Arabidopsis thaliana: one gene and its partners. The protein of the gene in region 1 interacts with the protein of each later gene in a pairwise test. Each region holds a gene or a part of one and is shown in the gene's direction. Other genes may lie near its edges.

Region 1 (8,366 bases):
AAGAAGTTCAACATGCCTTTTCTTTTCTTCTTCCTCTTCCGTTGCAACAGCATCCTCCTCCTCCTCCTCTTCTTCCACTTCAACCTCCTCCTCTATCTCCTCTTCTATCTCTTCAATCTCCTCCTCTTCAACTTCTTCGTATTCAACTTCCTCCTCCAGAATCTCCTCAGGATCATTGTCACCATCAAGGTCTACCCTTTCCTCAGATTCCATGGAGTCATGAGCCTCAGAAGCAGCAGTCCTCGTCCTTGACATCTTAAATATCTAGAAAAGAATGCTTGCAGTACAACTGTGGAGGAGACACAGAAGCAAGAAGCAAGTGGGGAGAGAGAATAAAACCGAGGAAAGGTTGGAAAAGAAACAATAAGAGGCCAATAGAAAAGAAGAATAAGAAGTTCGAATTGACGCTTTGCCATAATGCGGCTAAAAAGGTGACAAACAAATAGACAAAGAGAGAAGAGGGCGATGAAATGCTCAACAGGTGAAACAAAAAAAGATAAGAAACGAAATGACCCCTGAGAGCGGATAAAAACCATGATATCATAGGCCTTGGTTAGATGCAAAGAAGGTTAAAATATTCATGGCAACAAGAAAGATAAGAAGGGCTAAAGTCAAAATAGTATCTTTGCTTAGAAAACTCCAGCTCCATGTTAGAATCTCCCACAACAGACATTGTTCAGAATTTGCAAGTGATATTTTTTATGCTGCCAATCTAACCTGTTAAGAGAATCCTCAGCTTATAACTACAATTCTATTTGATTATTTCACACAAATTGACCACAATGATAGATACAACCAAGAACAACCCAATACACATACAAAGCTATAACTCAGAGAAATGTCAATCAAAGGCGTGTTTAAGCTAACTTAGCAATCATTGGAACAAAAATGAGAGAAAGATTCAGTTTTTAATTAAGATAAGAAGAGTTACACAAATCCCAATTTTGGATCCCCAACCAAAAAAAAAGATTCACGAAAGGAAACGAAGAGAGGCGCAATGAGATGAAAGAAGAAAGAGCGAGAAAGTACCTGAGAGAGCTGCCGGAAGAAAACCCTAATTTTGAGAATTACGGAGAGGATGAAGAAGTGTCTATCTTCGCGCACCTCAGGTGTTGAAAAATATGTATATGTGTATGTTGTATTGATATGACCTAAAAGATGCCTAAGCGAGACTATCAAGGAGGTGTAGTCACTTTTTATTATGATGCGACCAATCTTATATTACGGCTTATTACCGATCTTAATATACGACAAATTTGATTTTTATGCAAAAAAAACTTTCAAGTTGGATGAGAATTTGCGCCTTATATTTTTTTTACACATTGTTTTCAAAATTAACACTAGTTTTTTCTTAATTAACATGCAGTTTATACATGATCTACGTTATTTGTTAAAATCACATATGGAATAATTTCTTTAAAATTATAGTTTTACCATATACAATATGTTTTTTTTTTTATCAATTTTTAGCCAAAACTTGCCTATATAATCTAGCAAATAATACCCTAATCAATCATAATTAGTCTACGATTTTGTAAAAATGAAGCCATAAAATGTAATACAAATTTCTTACAAAAAAAAAAAGAAAATGTGGAATGAAAATATTTTTTCTTTTTGTATAAACAACTAGATTATAACCCGCGGTACACCGCGGAGACAATTATTTTTTAAAATTAGTATATATAAAAGTCTGTAAATTATATTTATCTATAAAATATTTATATTTTATAGTTTACAATTGTTATTAAGTAACATCCTTCCAAACCCGTTCTGCCAAACCCGTCCCGTTAAAAAAATTTGTAGTACACCGCTAATTTAAAAAAAAAAATTACGGGATTGCAATTATATTTTAGTTTGTCAAACAAATTTTTGTTTTAAATAGTTGTCGAAATCTAATTCAAATTTTGGAGAAATAAGATTTAGTGAACTGATAAGAAATGTATTTATGTGCGTTTTGCTCATTTTAAGGGATTGCAATTGTATTTTGGTTTGTCAAATATTTTTTGTTTTAAATAATTTCCGAAATCTAGTTCAAATTTTGGAGAAATCTGCGTGATATATGGGATTGGAATATATTTGGAATATTTTTTGTTTGTTAATCAATTTATTGCTAAAAGAAAATAAATAAATAAAAGCCAGTGGCAGCCATTGTAAATAAGTTCCAAATCTAGGATTTATTTTACAAAATGGCTGCAAAAATATATATATAGATAGGTTCACTTAATTACTTTTAATATAATAAAATCCGCACAAAATGTGAATACCTCAATTTTTCTATATCTTGGGAATTTTGAAAGACATAAGAATCAACACGAAAAATCTCAGTCTTTGACTCAGACTCCCACCGCGTAATTCCGAGCTAGGTTTCCATTTCTCCGGCGAATCGGACCTCTCTCTCGCTCTCTCTTCCAATTTCCCCTTTTTTCGTTTCCCAGGTACTGCTTCTTCCGATTCTAACATTTTTTGATCTTTTATAAAATCGGTCACATTATTCTTGATCGTATCTGCAGCGATGATTTGCAAGTAGCTTCCGCTAATAATCGCAACTCTCTGACGGATGCTATGGCAATGGGACTTATTCGTCTTCTTTCTATAGCTTTTACACTTGTTCTACTTTCAATCCTTCCTCTTCATCTCTCTCTCGCTGGTGAGTTTCCTTTCCCCGGATAAAATTGGTGATGAAATGTATTAGTTGATAGAACATTGTAATCTGAAATTGAGGTTTCGTTTTGTGTAGATGAGATAACATCTATTGAATCTGTACCTGACCTTCAGAAGCTAATGTATGTTGCTGTTGATGGGTTTCCTTGTGTACGTCTTCTCAATCTGTCTGGAGAGATTGGATGTTCAAGTAAGCTTCTTTTGGGCCTCTCAGCTACATGATTTTTATCTGTTGATGAGGTCCTCTAAGTTTTATGTTTATAAAAATACTCAGATCCTGGAATAAATAAAGTGGTGGCTCCAATCATAAAATTAAAGGACGTTAAAGATTTGGTTCAGCCACACACTATTTTGGTTACAGCTGATGAAATGGAAGATTTCTTTACCAGGCATGTCTCCTTTTTCATTTACAAAACTTTCATGACCTCTATTCGATTTTGTTAGTGATCTCTTAATTTGTGGAGTAGTGCTTTCCCACTCGCTTGTAGTTCTCATTTTGGTGTTTTATTTAACGTCAAACAAGATTTAGCTTTTGGGTGCCAAATCAGCCTTTTTGGAAAGGCAATTACATCCTTAAGAATAACGTATATCTAAGAGTTTGTTTTCATTAGTACTTGAGTATTTAAGGCAAACACTTTTAGTAATCTTCCATGACAGTGAAACAACAGATTGGAATGAGTATACCCTCTTATCACCATTTTTGAAATCTGCTAGAAATGTAGTCACTTGGTTGTTGGTGCATGGATTAGGTGTTTAGTGGAACCAGTAATTCATTGGCTTTTTCCGCTTTATTTTCATTCGACTAACGGAAAGTAGGTATACCTCCAAACACTTTACTGTAGAACCCTGCAGTCTGGCTTACTTCTGGCATTGTTCATTAGACTTGTACATCGCTTAGACACTCTATTCAGTAGAAATAACAGGACCACTCCTCTTTGTGCCTTTTCCAGGGTGTCAACTGATTTGAGCTTTGCTAGCAAAATTGGTGGTGTTCTAGTTGAATCAGGATCTAATTTCCAACAAAAGTTAAAAGGTACTATGTCCATCCACATATTTATGATTCTGTCAACTTGAATGGCTAATTCCTTAAATTGTCTTGAGTTCTTAATTCCCTTAAAAATAGTACTTGATACTTCTTATCTATGTTGATGGCGTTAGTGTTTCTTTCTTCTTTATTGTAGGGTTTTCTCCTGATAAAAGGTTTCCTCAAGCCCAGTTTTCACCCTATGAAAACGTTGAGTACAAATGGAATTCAGCTGTACGGTAGCGTAAACTCTGTCTGGATCTTTGAAATTACTTCTTCCTGTCAACTCTTTTATAGTGGGTTGGAAATTGTTTCAATCAGTTATCACCAAATCCATAGTCAAGCATTTCCGAGTTATATGCTGTTTTCTTCTGGAACTAAACTTAACTACCTGCTAACACACAAATACCATAAATCCTTTTCTTATGGTATAATTTTACTGGAGGAATGCATGTATCTGCCTAGATGATCACTTATAAAGAAGTTCAAAAATCTGTTGCATATTTATCTACCTTAATTAAAAGATAGTTCCTCTTATTGTTATCTACGGAGAAAAAATGATTTTGATTCTTATGAGTAGTTGCAGGCGATAAGTCTCTAGCCATTGACCATTGCTAAAAAATGATTATTTGCAGGCATCAAGCATCATGTGGAGAAATTATAATTTTCCTGTGTACTTATTGTCAGAAAGTGGCATATCAGCTGTGCATGAGGTAATCCTTCAAACTTGCATTCTTTTGCAAATTTTAAATGTGTCTATTTGTGTTGTCAGAAAAGCGAAATTGATGACATTTTTAGAAATATGAGGAAATGAACTCAAGGCTTAGAGAGGCATTATGACTGTTGGTCACTCTTAAGAGCAGTATTGCTTGATGAAAATATGGCTGTAAAATGATGCATGAGATATGTATCTCCAAGGTCATATGAAATGAATACTCCTAGTTTAAACTGAATTAGTCTGCAGAAATTTTTCTAAGCATTGATTACCCATTTTAAATAAGAATACAAATTTGGTCCTGGAATGTTTGTCTCATCCAGCTGAAGGCAACTCCCAGCTGCATCTGTAGATTTCAAATGCATGTTGCTTTCCATAGCCTGTAATTGGACTCAACCATAGCCTTTCCATTTGTCTTGTGGTAGTTGCCTTTAAACTGCTGGTCAACTATGTCATTCTATAGTATGTTGTTGTCCTTACCAGATGAGGTTCTGTCAAGAAGCTAGCTTTATGTTTCTGTTGTGTTGGTAGCAATCTAAAGTGTATAGTTTATGTGGATAGCTTCACTTTTTTCAGGTTATCGACTACATATTTACATCCTATTATATTTGCGCAGATCCTTTCCAAGAAAAAGATGAAGCATGGAACATATACCAGTGATGTTGCTGAATTCAATATGGTTATGGAGGTATATGGCTTTAGCAATCTTGCTCACTGGAACGTTAACCAGCTTTATGGATCTTCACTTTGACTTAGATTATGACACCCAATTCTCTATTTTTTGTATTAGACTACCAAAGCTGGAACACACAATTCGGAGGCTTGTTTGCAGGAGGGAACTTGCCTCCCATTGGGCGGATATAGGTAAAGATTTAGGTCTTTATTACTGTCTGATCTAATGACATATGAAAACCTTTTAAAGGATACGTTTCGTTTTCTAACAACTTTGTTATGAAGGACAGTGTTTGGTCCTCGCTTCCACCAATCAGTGTTTCGTCTTCCAACAATCGCAAACCAGTTGTGCTGACTGTGGCCTCCATGGATACTGCATCATTTTTCCGTGACAAAAGTTTTGGTGCAGATTCACCAATATCTGTGAGAACTTGCTATTTTCTGCTTTTGGGTTGATCTAGAATACATTTATTTACTCTTCTTATTCTTCTTTTCCCGATTTATTGCTCAACACGTTCTCCTTCTTTCAGGGTCTGGTAGCTCTTCTAGGAGCAGTTGATGCTCTTTCTCGAGTTGATGGTATTAGTAATCTCAAAAAACAGGTGCCAGTGTACCATGTGATTTAGTGTTATTTCACGCTTTTTGTTGTTTGCAAGCTTTAATACATGTAAATCGTAAATGAATGCAGCTTGTGTTTTTGGTTCTGACCGGAGAGACATGGGGTTACCTTGGCAGCAGGAGGTTCTTACACGAATTAGATCTGCATTCAGATGCTGTCGCAGGCCTTAGCAATACTTCGATTGAAACGGTAATCATTATTGTTTTGGTCTGACAAAGTTGATAGAGACAGCTAGCCTTATGCATGAAATCCCTGTGGAAAAAGTTGCCTGTGTTTCATCGTTGCTGCAACTTATTTGTTTCTTAGTAGCGCAGAAAGCAAGTTTAAGTGTTCCTTGTGAAATTGAATGTTCACAATTTTCTAAATCTAAAGATCGAATTCAGATTGCTTCTTCTATTATCTAACAGGTGCTTGAAATAGGATCTGTTGGAAAAGGTTTAAGTGGAGGGATAAACACCTTCTTTGCTCATAAAACAAGGGTGAGAAATTCCTGATATCCTGAAACTCTTGCATAATTCGAATTCGTTCGATAATGTGAAAACTGTCATAGGCGACTTAACCTCCACTTTTGGTGTTCTGCTTTAGGTTTCTTCAGTTACAAACATGACACTGGATGCTTTAAAGATAGCTCAGGATTCACTTGCATCAAAAAACATCAAAATTCTTTCAGCAGATACTGCAAACCCTGGAATACCCCCATCCTCCTTGATGGCTTTCATGAGAAAGGTACAATATATATTCCAAGTAAATAGATGGGAAGACAATTCAAATGTGTATTCGCACTATACTCTTTGCATATACTTCACCTTCAGTTGATCATGAATATGACAGGAGAAGTATACTTGCTTACTATTATGTGATTCTGAACCAGATTGCCTAGAGTGAAAAAGGTATAACATCATATTCATTGTTGCAGAACCCTCAGACTTCAGCTGTTGTACTTGAAGACTTTGATACCAACTTTGTGAATAAGTTCTACCATAGTCACCTCGATGACTTGTGTAAGAAGAGTCACAGCCTGTCTTTCTCTTCTTTTCGCTCCAAACCCCATTTTGCACTTTTGATTCCTTTCTGGTGTTGTATTGCAGCAAATATCAACTCCTCGTCTGTAGTAGCTGCTGCTTCTGTTGTGGCCCGAACACTTTACATCCTAGCAAGTGACAACAAAGATACAAGCAATTCAGCTCTGGGATCCATCCATGTCAATGCTTCTTTCGTTGAAGAGCTTCTAACCTGTCTTTTAGCTTGTGAACCGGGCTTATCTTGCAACTTGGTAAAAGACTATATTTCACCGACAAACACTTGTCCAGGCAACTATGCTGGCGTCATCCTCGGAGAACCTTCCTCCAAACCTTACCTTGGTTACGTCGGTGATGTTTCTAGATTCCTATGGAACTTTCTGGCAGATAAAACATCTGTCCAAAAGGGAAATACAACCTCAGTTTGTTCAAAAGGAGTCTGTAGCAAAACTGACGAAGTGTGCATCAAAGCAGAGAGCAACAAGGAAGGAACATGTGTTGTCTCCACAACCAGGTAAACTCTGTGCTTGGAAATTGCAATTTGGTTTGCATGCTCAAGTTCTCTCTTATGTCTCAAAATGAACCAAAATCTTAAGTCTGGTAGGCATTTTATAGGAATTATTAATTAGGATAGGCTTCAGAAGTGGAGTGTTTTTAGACTTGGGAGAAAGTCTATCTTTAGTTTGTTGACCTTTGAATTGAAGCTATCATCATTTTCTTCTTCCCCTGACCTGATATGTTGTATGTGACCTAACCAATTTGCTGTCTGAGCATAACACATTAAGTTCTGGTTTTGGCAGGTATGTTCCAGCTTATTCAACTCGATTGAAGTATAACGATGGAGCTTGGACAATTCTACCACAGAACTCATCAGATTCTATGGGGATGGTTGATCCAGTGTGGACCGAAAGCAACTGGGACACTTTAAGGGTGCATGTGTACACAGTCCAGCACTCAGCATACGACAATGCAGTCCTCGTTGCAGGTATTACAGTCACAACGTTGGCTTACATCGGAATTTTGGCTGCTAAGTCAATCATCACAAAAGCCTTGAAGCAGGACTGAGACTTGTATTTAATTCCCTCTCCTCTCGGCTCAAAATTACTTGTCAGTTTCCGTAAGACATTGCCTAACCAGCAACACCACCAATACCTTAGTGGTAGAAACCTTTTTTCTCAACCAAGGTTATTAAAATATGTCTTTGAGCTAATTCATGTTAAATTCTTTATTACACTGGCAAGAAATTTATAAGAAAAAAGTTTGCTTTCACAAAATCCTATAGATAAAGCAACAATACAATTCTAAATCCAGAGCAAAATCTTAGCTGCCAAGAAGAAAATAGTGTTTTGTTTTGTGTTTTGGTACCTCAATTAACAAAACAGCAATTTAAGCTTAGTTGTGATAGATTAAGAAGTTGTTACATATACTAAGTAAATAAAATCATAGAACCAGAAAGTGGTGAGACATCAAATACATATAAAGCATAAGCATCTCTACAAAATGTTTTAATGGAATCGCTTCCATGATCATAATCATCATCACAACATTAGATGAACAAGTGCTTGAACTCCCCATTTGCTAGCTTACATAGCTCGTTGTAGTTCTGTGTATCTGCAACCAAAAATAACAACCAAAACATCAAAACACAACTCAATA
Region 2 (4,972 bases), on another chromosome or scaffold:
TAGAGTATACGATATTTTAAGAAACTCGGGTATTGGGGATAGTGAAACTTTTTGGTTAACGTAGTACGATCATATACAAAATACACTCGTGATGAAATTTAGTTAATCTTAAATATGTTTTTAATTCCAAAAGTACATACATTTTGTTAGTTGAGACAAAGTACGAAATATGAAATCTATACAGTTCATGAATAAGTTTCTATTTTGCACTTGAACTAAACTAAAGGAATTGTACAAAGTATTATTATAATGTTTGTTTGTAAATTTTTGATATCTTTTGGATTCTATATAGCATACGACTCGGTGGACTAAATTCTTGGGAGATAATTAATGATGACAAATCGAATACTAAAACGAAAAGTCAACCAAGTTGTGAAGTAGTGGTGGGCTTTATTAACCAACTGACAATACATCAACATAAGCTAATGTACGTCTCTGTTACCTAGCGGTGACACCATATATGACAATACCTCTCTTTTTCAATGACATCATTATGAACCTGTCGGTCGATTTTACATGATGTCAACTCTTCTTTCTGTTTACTAAATCCCTCATCTAGTTAATTTCGAATATATAAATGAAAAAAATAATAATTAAAAAGATGTTTATTTACTCACAAAGATAGCCATAACCATAAGCTTATAATGCAGAAAGGAAAATGTAAAATTCTCCAATATTTGTATCAGTGATTTAACAAGTTTTTGCGATGATTTAATAACATTCTCCAACTTTTTTTTTTTTTTTTAATATATAAATTCTCCAACTTTCCATTTTCTCCTTTTCCGAACTACATTAGCAAATCAATTTCTGTTCACAGTTTTTGAACGTTTCATTGAACCATTTTTCGTAAATCTTCTTACCATTGTTAAAAAGATGGGTACAATAATTCTGCTTTCAGGAAACAAAAAAGGACTACAACTCACGTAAAAATTACGATAGGATCTGGTGGAAGGTCAAATGTTTGAATTTGACTAGTAGATATATAGTCCAATGCAACATGGACCGTATGAATAATGGATAACACTTTAACGTCATACCAGATCAAAATAGAGAGGACAAAAGTATGAATGACACAAGACATAAACCATTTGTTAGATAAGTACAAAAGACAAACGCTCATTTCTTTTTAAAAATTCAGACAATATTTCAATAAAACAGAATAAAAGTCCAAGTTTTTGAAAAAAATAGAAATTTTCCAATTAATATTTATTTTCAATAAAAATGTTAATTAAAGCTCAAAATTTTCATTTTCTGTACTAGACCTCAAATTCGTTGGACTGGACCTCTTTGATCCTACTAAAATGTCAAAACGATTGCAATGACACCTAGCCCCAACCAACTAGAAACAACAAGTCAAGACCACTACTTTATGTGAAAATTGAGTTACCGCTTACCATCATCTATCATATCAACACTGAGATATTGTAACCAAAACTAGGATATGTTTGTTTGGCTTTCATCAGTGATACACAACAGTGACAAATGATGAAATTATGTTTGTTTTGTAGTTTGTTGGTTCAACAATACCTTTCAGCGATAAAATCATGCTTGTTACATTGTTGCTAATTCAGAAAATTTAGCCTACATATCGTTAACGTTTATAAAACAGTTGGTTAACAATCACTAAAAATTAATATATTAAAAAAAGACTAAAAAATTAAAAATAAATACCGATGGATAAACTAACGACTACAATGCAAACACGATTCTATTATCTTTACTCTTCGTTAACAACAATTAGAAAATAACAACACCATCATGAAAAAACAACATTTTTCTTGTGTAATTGGGTATCGTTGATGCTTACAATACAACGAATGTAGAACGAACAGAGTAAATACCTCTCTTTTTCAATGACATCATTATGAACGAATGAATTTGTGGTCCACTAAAGTTGGGATCGGCCCGTTAAAAAAGCCCATAAACCAAAAAATATTGGCTGACGAATATTTCAAAACTGCCATTCTTTATTTGTTTACATAACTCAAAAACATGACGATAATCAACCAATATTAAAACGCCACGTGTTCCCTCGCGGTCATTTATCATTGAATCGAAGAGCACCCGCCCAGCTTGTTTCAATCGTCGTCGTTTTTCTCTTTGATTTGCCTGAAATTTGTTCTCTTCTTTTGGTTGCAATTTCTCGATCTCGAATTTTCTGAGAGAATACAAAACTTAATTTCTCAAACCCCAGCAGATTCGAATTTAGGGTTTCTTACACCCATTAGATTTCGCGTCGATGGCGTCCAATCGCGGTGCGGGTGGTTCTCTATACGGCGGAGCTGATCCGTATAGATCTAGGTATATTTCTAATATTATCAGTTTCTCCTTTTCTGAAATCGATTCTGGATAGAGAAAACGGGTCCTAGATTTGGTGAATTCTGCGTAAAGTACAAGTATTTATCTTTGGTGTGTGATTTGTAGAGAAGGGCTAAGCACTAGAAATGCTTCAGGTTCAGAGGAAATTCAGCTGAGGATTGATCCTATGCACTCTGACCTGGATGATGAGATTCTAGGTCTCCATGGCCAAGTCAGGCAATTGAAAAATGTAAGAAACCCTCTAAATCCCATTTCGATCTTTCTACTTTTTATCTATAGTGCCATTTGTATTGTCTTCTTGTGGTTCTGAAGGATCATTGTTCTCTTTAAGCTTTAAGTTGATCATATGAATTTGGAAATTTGTCTTCTTTTCGGTTTTGACAGTGGTTAGAGCTTGGTTAATTAGTTGTGTAGGTGTTTTTTTGTTCAGGGTACTATGATAATGTTATTGTTCACAATACTTATCAGTCAGTCCACGATTAATTAGTTGAATCCACTTGTCTGATGTCTTTTGTATACATCTGTGGTTATTGTTTTATATCACCACCCTTCTTGAAGGAATCAGTCGACATTCTCTACAATTCCTTGTGTTTTACCTTGCACTTTTGCGCATTATTTATCCCTCATGATTTTTTGTTATATCGTTGATCGCTTATTTTGATGCAGATTGCTCAAGAAATTGGGTCAGAAGCAAAGTCTCAGAGGGACTTCTTAGATGAACTGGTATGTTGTTGATGTCCCTTTAGTTTTTTCTTTATCCATCATAGTAAATTGCAATGTAAGCACTTAACATCAGTAACATGCATTCATTTACTCTTCTTTACCTTTAAGATGAATCACTGATTATATATAGTATATCCGAATATCGGTTTCCTATAACTTGTTTCAGATGTCTCTGTTCATTATTAGTTGGGAAAATATAGTTTCATCCTAACATATGTTAGATAACTTTAACCGTAGCTTACAAAACCAATGAATCTTGATAAATCCAAAGTGTAGATTATGTTTACTTAGGATCTGGTCTGAACGCTGGTGGTGGGTAGGATTAGATATCTTCAATCTCACCTAGTTTGGTGAAATGCAGCAGGAAATGGTTACAGCTTATCATTGAGTTCCTGCCACTTTGTCAATGAGAATGTTGGTGTTGAATGTGTTCATTGCTTTTAGTTCGTTCTAGTTTTTTCTTTTGTTACCTAGAAGAACATCCTAGAGAAGATAATGACAAACAACTAGATTTGGTAGTGAGACTGCAGAAACAAGCATTTAGTGCTGTTATAAGCAAAATAAAATAAGTAGACGAAATGTTGTTCTTGTCTGAAACATAAAACGCTTCAATGGTATTTTGTTTTTGTTTGTGACAGCAAATGACATTGATCAGAGCGCAAGCAGGGGTGAAGAACAACATAAGGAAACTGAACCTAAGCATAATCCGTAGTGGTAACAACCACATAATGCACGTAGTTCTTTTCGCGCTCCTCCTCTTCTTTATCCTCTACATGTGGTCCAAGATGTTCAAAAGATAGATAGAGAGACTCATGGCATACTTGTGTTACCCCCCAAAAAAAAACCCTTGATGAATGTTGGATAAGTTGTAGAAAATATCCTCTAGATTACAAACATTTTGTGGTTCTTCTCGTTACCTGTTATATAGAGTGCCTGTTTTTAACAGTTTACATGAAGCAAAATTGTATCACAGAACAACAGCATGAGATATTTTAGACCAGTTCAAATCTGGCCTTAACTTGATTAATTACCCGTCCGGTCCAATTCAGTATTGGGCTTTTATAGTCTTATGGGCTGAAGTGTCGTGATACGTGTATTATTATGGTTGGTTCTTATGCGTAAGTTTATGGTGGTATCGTCCGTAGACGATAGAGGTTCCACACTATGTAAAGGAGACCGGAGAAACAAAGGAACTGGGTTTGGAGATAAGAAGTGGGAACTTGAATGGCTTCCTTATCCACTTCCGTTGTAGCTTCGGCTTCGTCGCGTTTATGGAATCCTGCTGCCTCCAACGGCAAGATTTGCGTTCCTTCTGCTTCGCTTTCTCTGCGTACGGGTTGTAGACGGAGTTCGTCCTCTCTCACTTCTTCCGCTTCTTCGCAATTGCTTCATTGCTCGTTTCTCTCGTCGCCTGTTTCCCTAGCGTCTCCATTTTCTGGTACATCTTAAATTGGTTCGAATTATTGTTTGTGTTTAGCTTCTGGTGATGTAATGTATCAAGTTCTTTTACCCAATTTTGATTTTTTTTTCTGGTTCTTTGGGTTTGGTTGATTTATCACTATTCTCGTGTGTTAGGCTCTAGCTTACTTTGCAAACACATATATTCGAAGCTTTTTTAGAAGAATTTGGGAATTGTGAAACATAGTTGTCAATGGTGAATTCGATTTGGGAGTGTGAGTGAAAGAAGCCATTTTGTTTGTTTCTGATATTTCTTGTTAAGTTTATAACAACAAGTGAAGATAACATTTTGCAACTTAAGCCTCAATTTCTGATATCTTAGCTCATGTATTTGTAGCCGCAAGTAAATGTTGTTTGATTTTTAGTACAAAAATCTTTTAGCTCATGTCGATTATTTAGGTACAATGGTTATAGATTTGCTTCAATATGTCACATGAACTTGTTCCTCCTCCTTTGATCATAATTTTCTTGT
Region 3 (4,402 bases), on another chromosome or scaffold:
AATTGTGGCAAACTAAAATCCGAAGAGAAAAAGAATAGATAATCAAAAAATATTATAAGCATTGTGGACAAGTTACAAGGCGATCTCAATTCAACTACGTGTAATAAGAAATGATTCTTACATGATGACCAGTTAAATCAATTTTCTTGTCCTTTGCAGACACTTGTCCTGGATAGTTGAATCGTAAGGATTGCAAACGTTGAGCTCGTATAAGATCTTCAAGTATAATTCTTTTGACAATGACTGTCCCAACTGGACAACTTATGTCATCTTGTCGAAATGGCAGAGAACTAGTTTTATGAGAAGCGTTGTTATCTTTGGTCCATTTAGGTATAGTTGTGGGTTTCAACTGCATTTATATTTCAATCCATCCAAACATTAATAAGAATTTTATTTATAGATATTTTTTCGTGGTTTGTAGGATAAACCTTAATAGAATGGTTCTTGAGCAAAGGATGATCAAAAGCTAGCTGTTTTTGAATGTCGATGCAGTCAAATATATAACCATGTTCAGTCTGTCGAAATCAAAAGCAAGAAAAAATTGGTGTGGTCTGAAAATAAATGTAACTTGATGATAGTTGTAATATTGTTACAATAGTCAACAATTTTTGTAATGTTTTATGAAAATTTAAGAAAAGAAAGGCTAAATTTACTTGGAAACTTTTGACTGCAGGTTTATTGAGATAGGTAAGTAGCTTCTTCATCTCTTCTTTCTCCTCTTTCGAAGGTATTGTTTTGTGACTCTCTCCAACTAAAATGAGAGCTATTGTTGATAAAGTTAGCAAGATAATTAGTTTATTGGAATACCTCATGATGAATCAAGGATCTTAATCTATATTTTTCAAAAGAAAAAATGAAGCAGAACAACTATATTTATTGTGTCACATAAATCTGAGATCATTTATAACCACCAAAGAACCTATACACAGTAAATGACAAATGTATCTCCCTCTATCTCTATTGCCCATATGTAGATGCTAAAGTAAGATTTCTCTTTTTTTTAATGTACTTTTTTTTGTATAAAGTATATTCCATAAGAAAAAGGAAAAGCTTGTTTATGGATCAATTGACCCCAAAAAAAGTTTTTAGATCAAAGCCCAATATAAAAAAAAAACACAGTAGTGACACAAAGGAACTTAAATAAACCATGAATTGATCTATAAACAGTAGAGATCGATAAGGCGAACATTTTCCATGTGAAGTGTCTTCTTTCATCTATAATATTTTTGACATCCAATAATTTCCTCTATAATATCATTCACATAATTGATAGAAACATTATGTTAGAATTGTCCACATCATTTGAGCTGTAATATATTCTGTTTTAACAAATTATATGGTAGTTGCTTAATCTTATGTCCATCTTCTTCTATGCATCGTTTTCGCGCCTAGTTGTCCAGTCCATTTCAACTACCTACCTCTAATTCTTATCTTAAAACAACATTTTTTAATTTAAGTATTATGCTCAAAGACTAACTAGATAGAAAACCGTTATTAAACATTAAACGAATTAAAAGTCTTACATGGAAAATGTAGGTTTATAAACCACGAGTTATGATTGACAATAAAAAAAATGCAAATCATCAATCAAAAGAGACTTGAGTGCGACTCTATATCAACCATTGCAATTAAAATTATCTATCACAAAAATTTTAGACAGATTAAGTTAATTTAGTCTAAATTCACTAATTTATTTTCTATAATTAGTAATTAACTATATTTATTTATTTACACATTTTCTGATAATTTAGAAATTTGCATGAATAACAAATATAAGATTTTGGAAATTAGTAGCAAATTTAATTAATAATTATTTTTGCCTAAATGAACCAAACTATAAAACCTCCACATACACCAGTCATCAAATTTACAGAGACAACAAACTAAAGTTGGTGGTGATAGAGTGAGAGAGAAACATGGAAGGCAAAGAAGAAGACGTCAATGTTGGAGCCAACAAGTTCCCAGAGAGACAGCCGATCGGTACGGCGGCTCAGACGGAGAGCAAGGACTATAAGGAACCACCACCGGCGCCGTTTTTCGAACCCGGCGAGCTCAAATCTTGGTCTTTCTACAGAGCAGGGATAGCTGAGTTCATAGCCACTTTCCTTTTCCTCTACGTCACCGTTTTGACAGTCATGGGTGTTAAGAGAGCTCCCAATATGTGTGCCTCTGTTGGAATCCAAGGCATCGCTTGGGCTTTTGGTGGCATGATCTTTGCTCTTGTTTACTGTACTGCTGGAATCTCAGGTTCAGGATCTGTTCTTGCTCTGAATTTTGTTTAAAGTTTTCGAATTTAGGTTGAAGGAATCTGGAATTAGGGTTACTTGGTTGTGAGAAACTTGGATATAATGAAGAAAGTTTGATACTTAAAAGTAATTTCACATTTAAAGATTGAAACTTTGAGTAATTTTCTTCTTAAAGTTTGAAACTTTGGTTAGTTTGCCCCACTTTGTTTCTTCTGTGTGAAGATCATAATCTGATTTTGACTTGTGTGTGGCGAATTGGTTTGGTAATGAGCAGGAGGACATATTAATCCGGCGGTGACTTTTGGTTTGTTCTTGGCGAGGAAGCTATCTTTAACCAGAGCTCTGTTCTACATAGTAATGCAGTGCCTTGGAGCTATATGTGGTGCTGGTGTGGTTAAAGGGTTTCAACCAGGGCTGTACCAGACGAATGGCGGTGGAGCTAATGTGGTGGCTCATGGTTACACAAAGGGTTCAGGTCTTGGTGCAGAGATTGTTGGAACTTTTGTTCTGGTTTACACTGTTTTCTCAGCTACTGATGCTAAGAGAAGTGCCAGAGACTCTCATGTCCCTGTATGTTGCTAATTCTCTAGTATCCTTGAGTTGTGTTGAGTTCATATTCTTCACATAGAGCTCATGTGTTTTTTGGTTATCGAACATTTTGCAGATCTTGGCTCCGCTTCCAATTGGGTTTGCTGTCTTCTTGGTGCACTTGGCTACCATCCCAATTACTGGAACTGGCATTAACCCGGCCAGGAGTCTCGGAGCTGCCATCATCTACAACAAGGATCATGCTTGGGATGACCATGTAAGTTTTCCTCTTTAATTACATCAACGGTTGTGCTAAGTATGATAAGTTATGAATTGCATCTAAATAGCAACTCAGAATTTTTGATAATTCTGCTCTTATCTGTTGTCTCTTTTGTTTTATGTGTCTGCAGTGGATCTTCTGGGTCGGTCCATTCATTGGTGCTGCGCTTGCTGCTCTGTACCATCAGATAGTCATCAGAGCTATTCCTTTCAAGTCCAAGACATAAAGTTTCCTACATATTCTCTGATCATCATCAAGCTAAGAATATATCAATCTTTAATTCTATATGCTTTCTTCTTGTTTCCTATGTCATGTGTGATGATCTCTATATGTACCACTAGAGCTTTGATCTTGTAACAGTGTAAATGTGTAATCTATTATGTATCAATGGCATTGTATCTTGTAACATTAATTATGTCAATGGAAGAATACATTGTGTACATGTGTAAGCTCAGAATCTTGTTTGAATATCACAGAGACATAACTGAACTGGACATAGGTATGCTAAGTTGCTAACATTGTCAATAAGTGTTTCCAATACCAAACATTAGCAACATAATTGTAAAATGTGTAGAATTTGATAGAACAACATCTAAGCCGAACTGAACTGGTCTAACACCATCATCGCAAGTATTTCTTCATCTTCTTTCTTCTATAAGAGTCTTTCATTTTCCACTTTTTATAACATGCTTATAACTGAATTTTCAACTTTTGAATCACAGTTTCAGTTATAGATATTCTTGGATGATGTTCAGTTCGGGGTTTTGGTTTTGGTTTTGGTTTTGGTTGATAGTCATGAAAATGCATGTTCTGTTCCACATGGTAGGGTTCCAGTAAAATAATAAAAGAACCAGATTTAGTAACATCTTTCACATGAATGATAACATATTTCACATGTTTGATGCAGCAACTTGTAATATGGATGATAGTCATGAAAGAATCTAATGGGCCAAGAAATGTGAAAGAGTCTACATGACTATCATCCAAAAAAGAGTTGTAGCAATATGGATGGGCCAAGAAAGTGCAAGACTTCAGCTTGAGCTTGACTTTAAGAGAATAAGTAATTTGCATTTGCCCTTTGGTCATGTAGTACTCGGGTTGTTTACATTTATCAAACAAATATCAGAGTTGTTTATTGTTATTTGGGAAAATCTTTAAACTTTCTACATAATCTTTGAGACTAGTGGGAATTAAGAGTGGTGATGTAGTGGATCAAGATTAAAAAAAGTTGATTGTTTAAAACATCGAGTATCTTGCAATACAAAACAAAACCCTTAAACCAATCAATACGAAAAAGATGAAGATGTCAACTTTCCTTTTCAAAAATATGCAAGTTTGAATCCGGATG

What was found. The genes of interacting proteins can lie anywhere in the genome.
Region 2: the proteins of AT3G52640 (region 1) and AT1G29060 interact in a protein complementation assay, tested with the Arabidopsis thaliana proteins (one large-scale study listed by BioGRID).
Region 3: the proteins of AT3G52640 (region 1) and PIP1;5 interact in a protein complementation assay, tested with the Arabidopsis thaliana proteins (one large-scale study listed by BioGRID).

Annotation. Positions count from the first base shown.
Region 1 is NC_003074.8:19,514,487-19,522,852, reverse strand, and holds AT3G52640 (Zn-dependent exopeptidases superfamily protein), read left to right. Parts: upstream 1-2,308; 5' UTR 2,309-2,435; intron 2,436-2,510; 5' UTR 2,511-2,562; coding exon 2,563-2,647; intron 2,648-2,737; coding exon 2,738-2,851; intron 2,852-2,935; coding exon 2,936-3,050; intron 3,051-3,611; coding exon 3,612-3,694; intron 3,695-3,842; coding exon 3,843-3,919; intron 3,920-4,320; coding exon 4,321-4,398; intron 4,399-5,016; coding exon 5,017-5,088; intron 5,089-5,190; coding exon 5,191-5,264; intron 5,265-5,362; coding exon 5,363-5,495; intron 5,496-5,602; coding exon 5,603-5,674; intron 5,675-5,760; coding exon 5,761-5,880; intron 5,881-6,098; coding exon 6,099-6,170; intron 6,171-6,276; coding exon 6,277-6,417; intron 6,418-6,607; coding exon 6,608-7,224; coding exon of another isoform or gene 7,225-7,228; exon of another isoform or gene 7,229-7,510; coding exon 7,511-7,775; 3' UTR 7,776-7,980; downstream 7,981-8,366. Other genes in the region: AT3G52660 (RNA-binding (RRM/RBD/RNP motifs) family protein), read right to left, coding at 1-255; AT3G52630 (Nucleic acid-binding, OB-fold-like protein), read right to left, coding at 8,257-8,321. UniProt on the Arabidopsis thaliana protein: Probable subunit of the gamma-secretase complex, an endoprotease complex that catalyzes the intramembrane cleavage of integral membrane proteins such as Notch.
Region 2 is NC_003070.9:10,145,618-10,150,589, forward strand, and holds AT1G29060 (Target SNARE coiled-coil domain protein), read left to right. Parts: upstream 1-1,987; 5' UTR 1,988-2,239; coding exon 2,240-2,301; intron 2,302-2,424; coding exon 2,425-2,548; intron 2,549-2,985; coding exon 2,986-3,042; intron 3,043-3,680; coding exon 3,681-3,842; 3' UTR 3,843-4,163; downstream 4,164-4,972. Other genes in the region: AT1G29070 (Ribosomal protein L34), read left to right, coding at 4,267-4,480. UniProt on the Arabidopsis thaliana protein: Required for vesicular transport from the ER to the Golgi complex. Functions as a SNARE associated with ER-derived vesicles.
Region 3 is NC_003075.7:12,218,876-12,223,277, forward strand, and holds PIP1;5 (plasma membrane intrinsic protein 1;5), read left to right. Parts: upstream 1-1,765; 5' UTR 1,766-1,916; coding exon 1,917-2,247; intron 2,248-2,520; coding exon 2,521-2,816; intron 2,817-2,910; coding exon 2,911-3,051; intron 3,052-3,184; coding exon 3,185-3,280; 3' UTR 3,281-3,593; downstream 3,594-4,402. Other genes in the region: AT4G23390 (NEP-interacting protein, putative (DUF239)), read right to left, coding at 1-12, 122-349, 429-515, 654-812. UniProt on the Arabidopsis thaliana protein: Aquaporins facilitate the transport of water and small neutral solutes across cell membranes.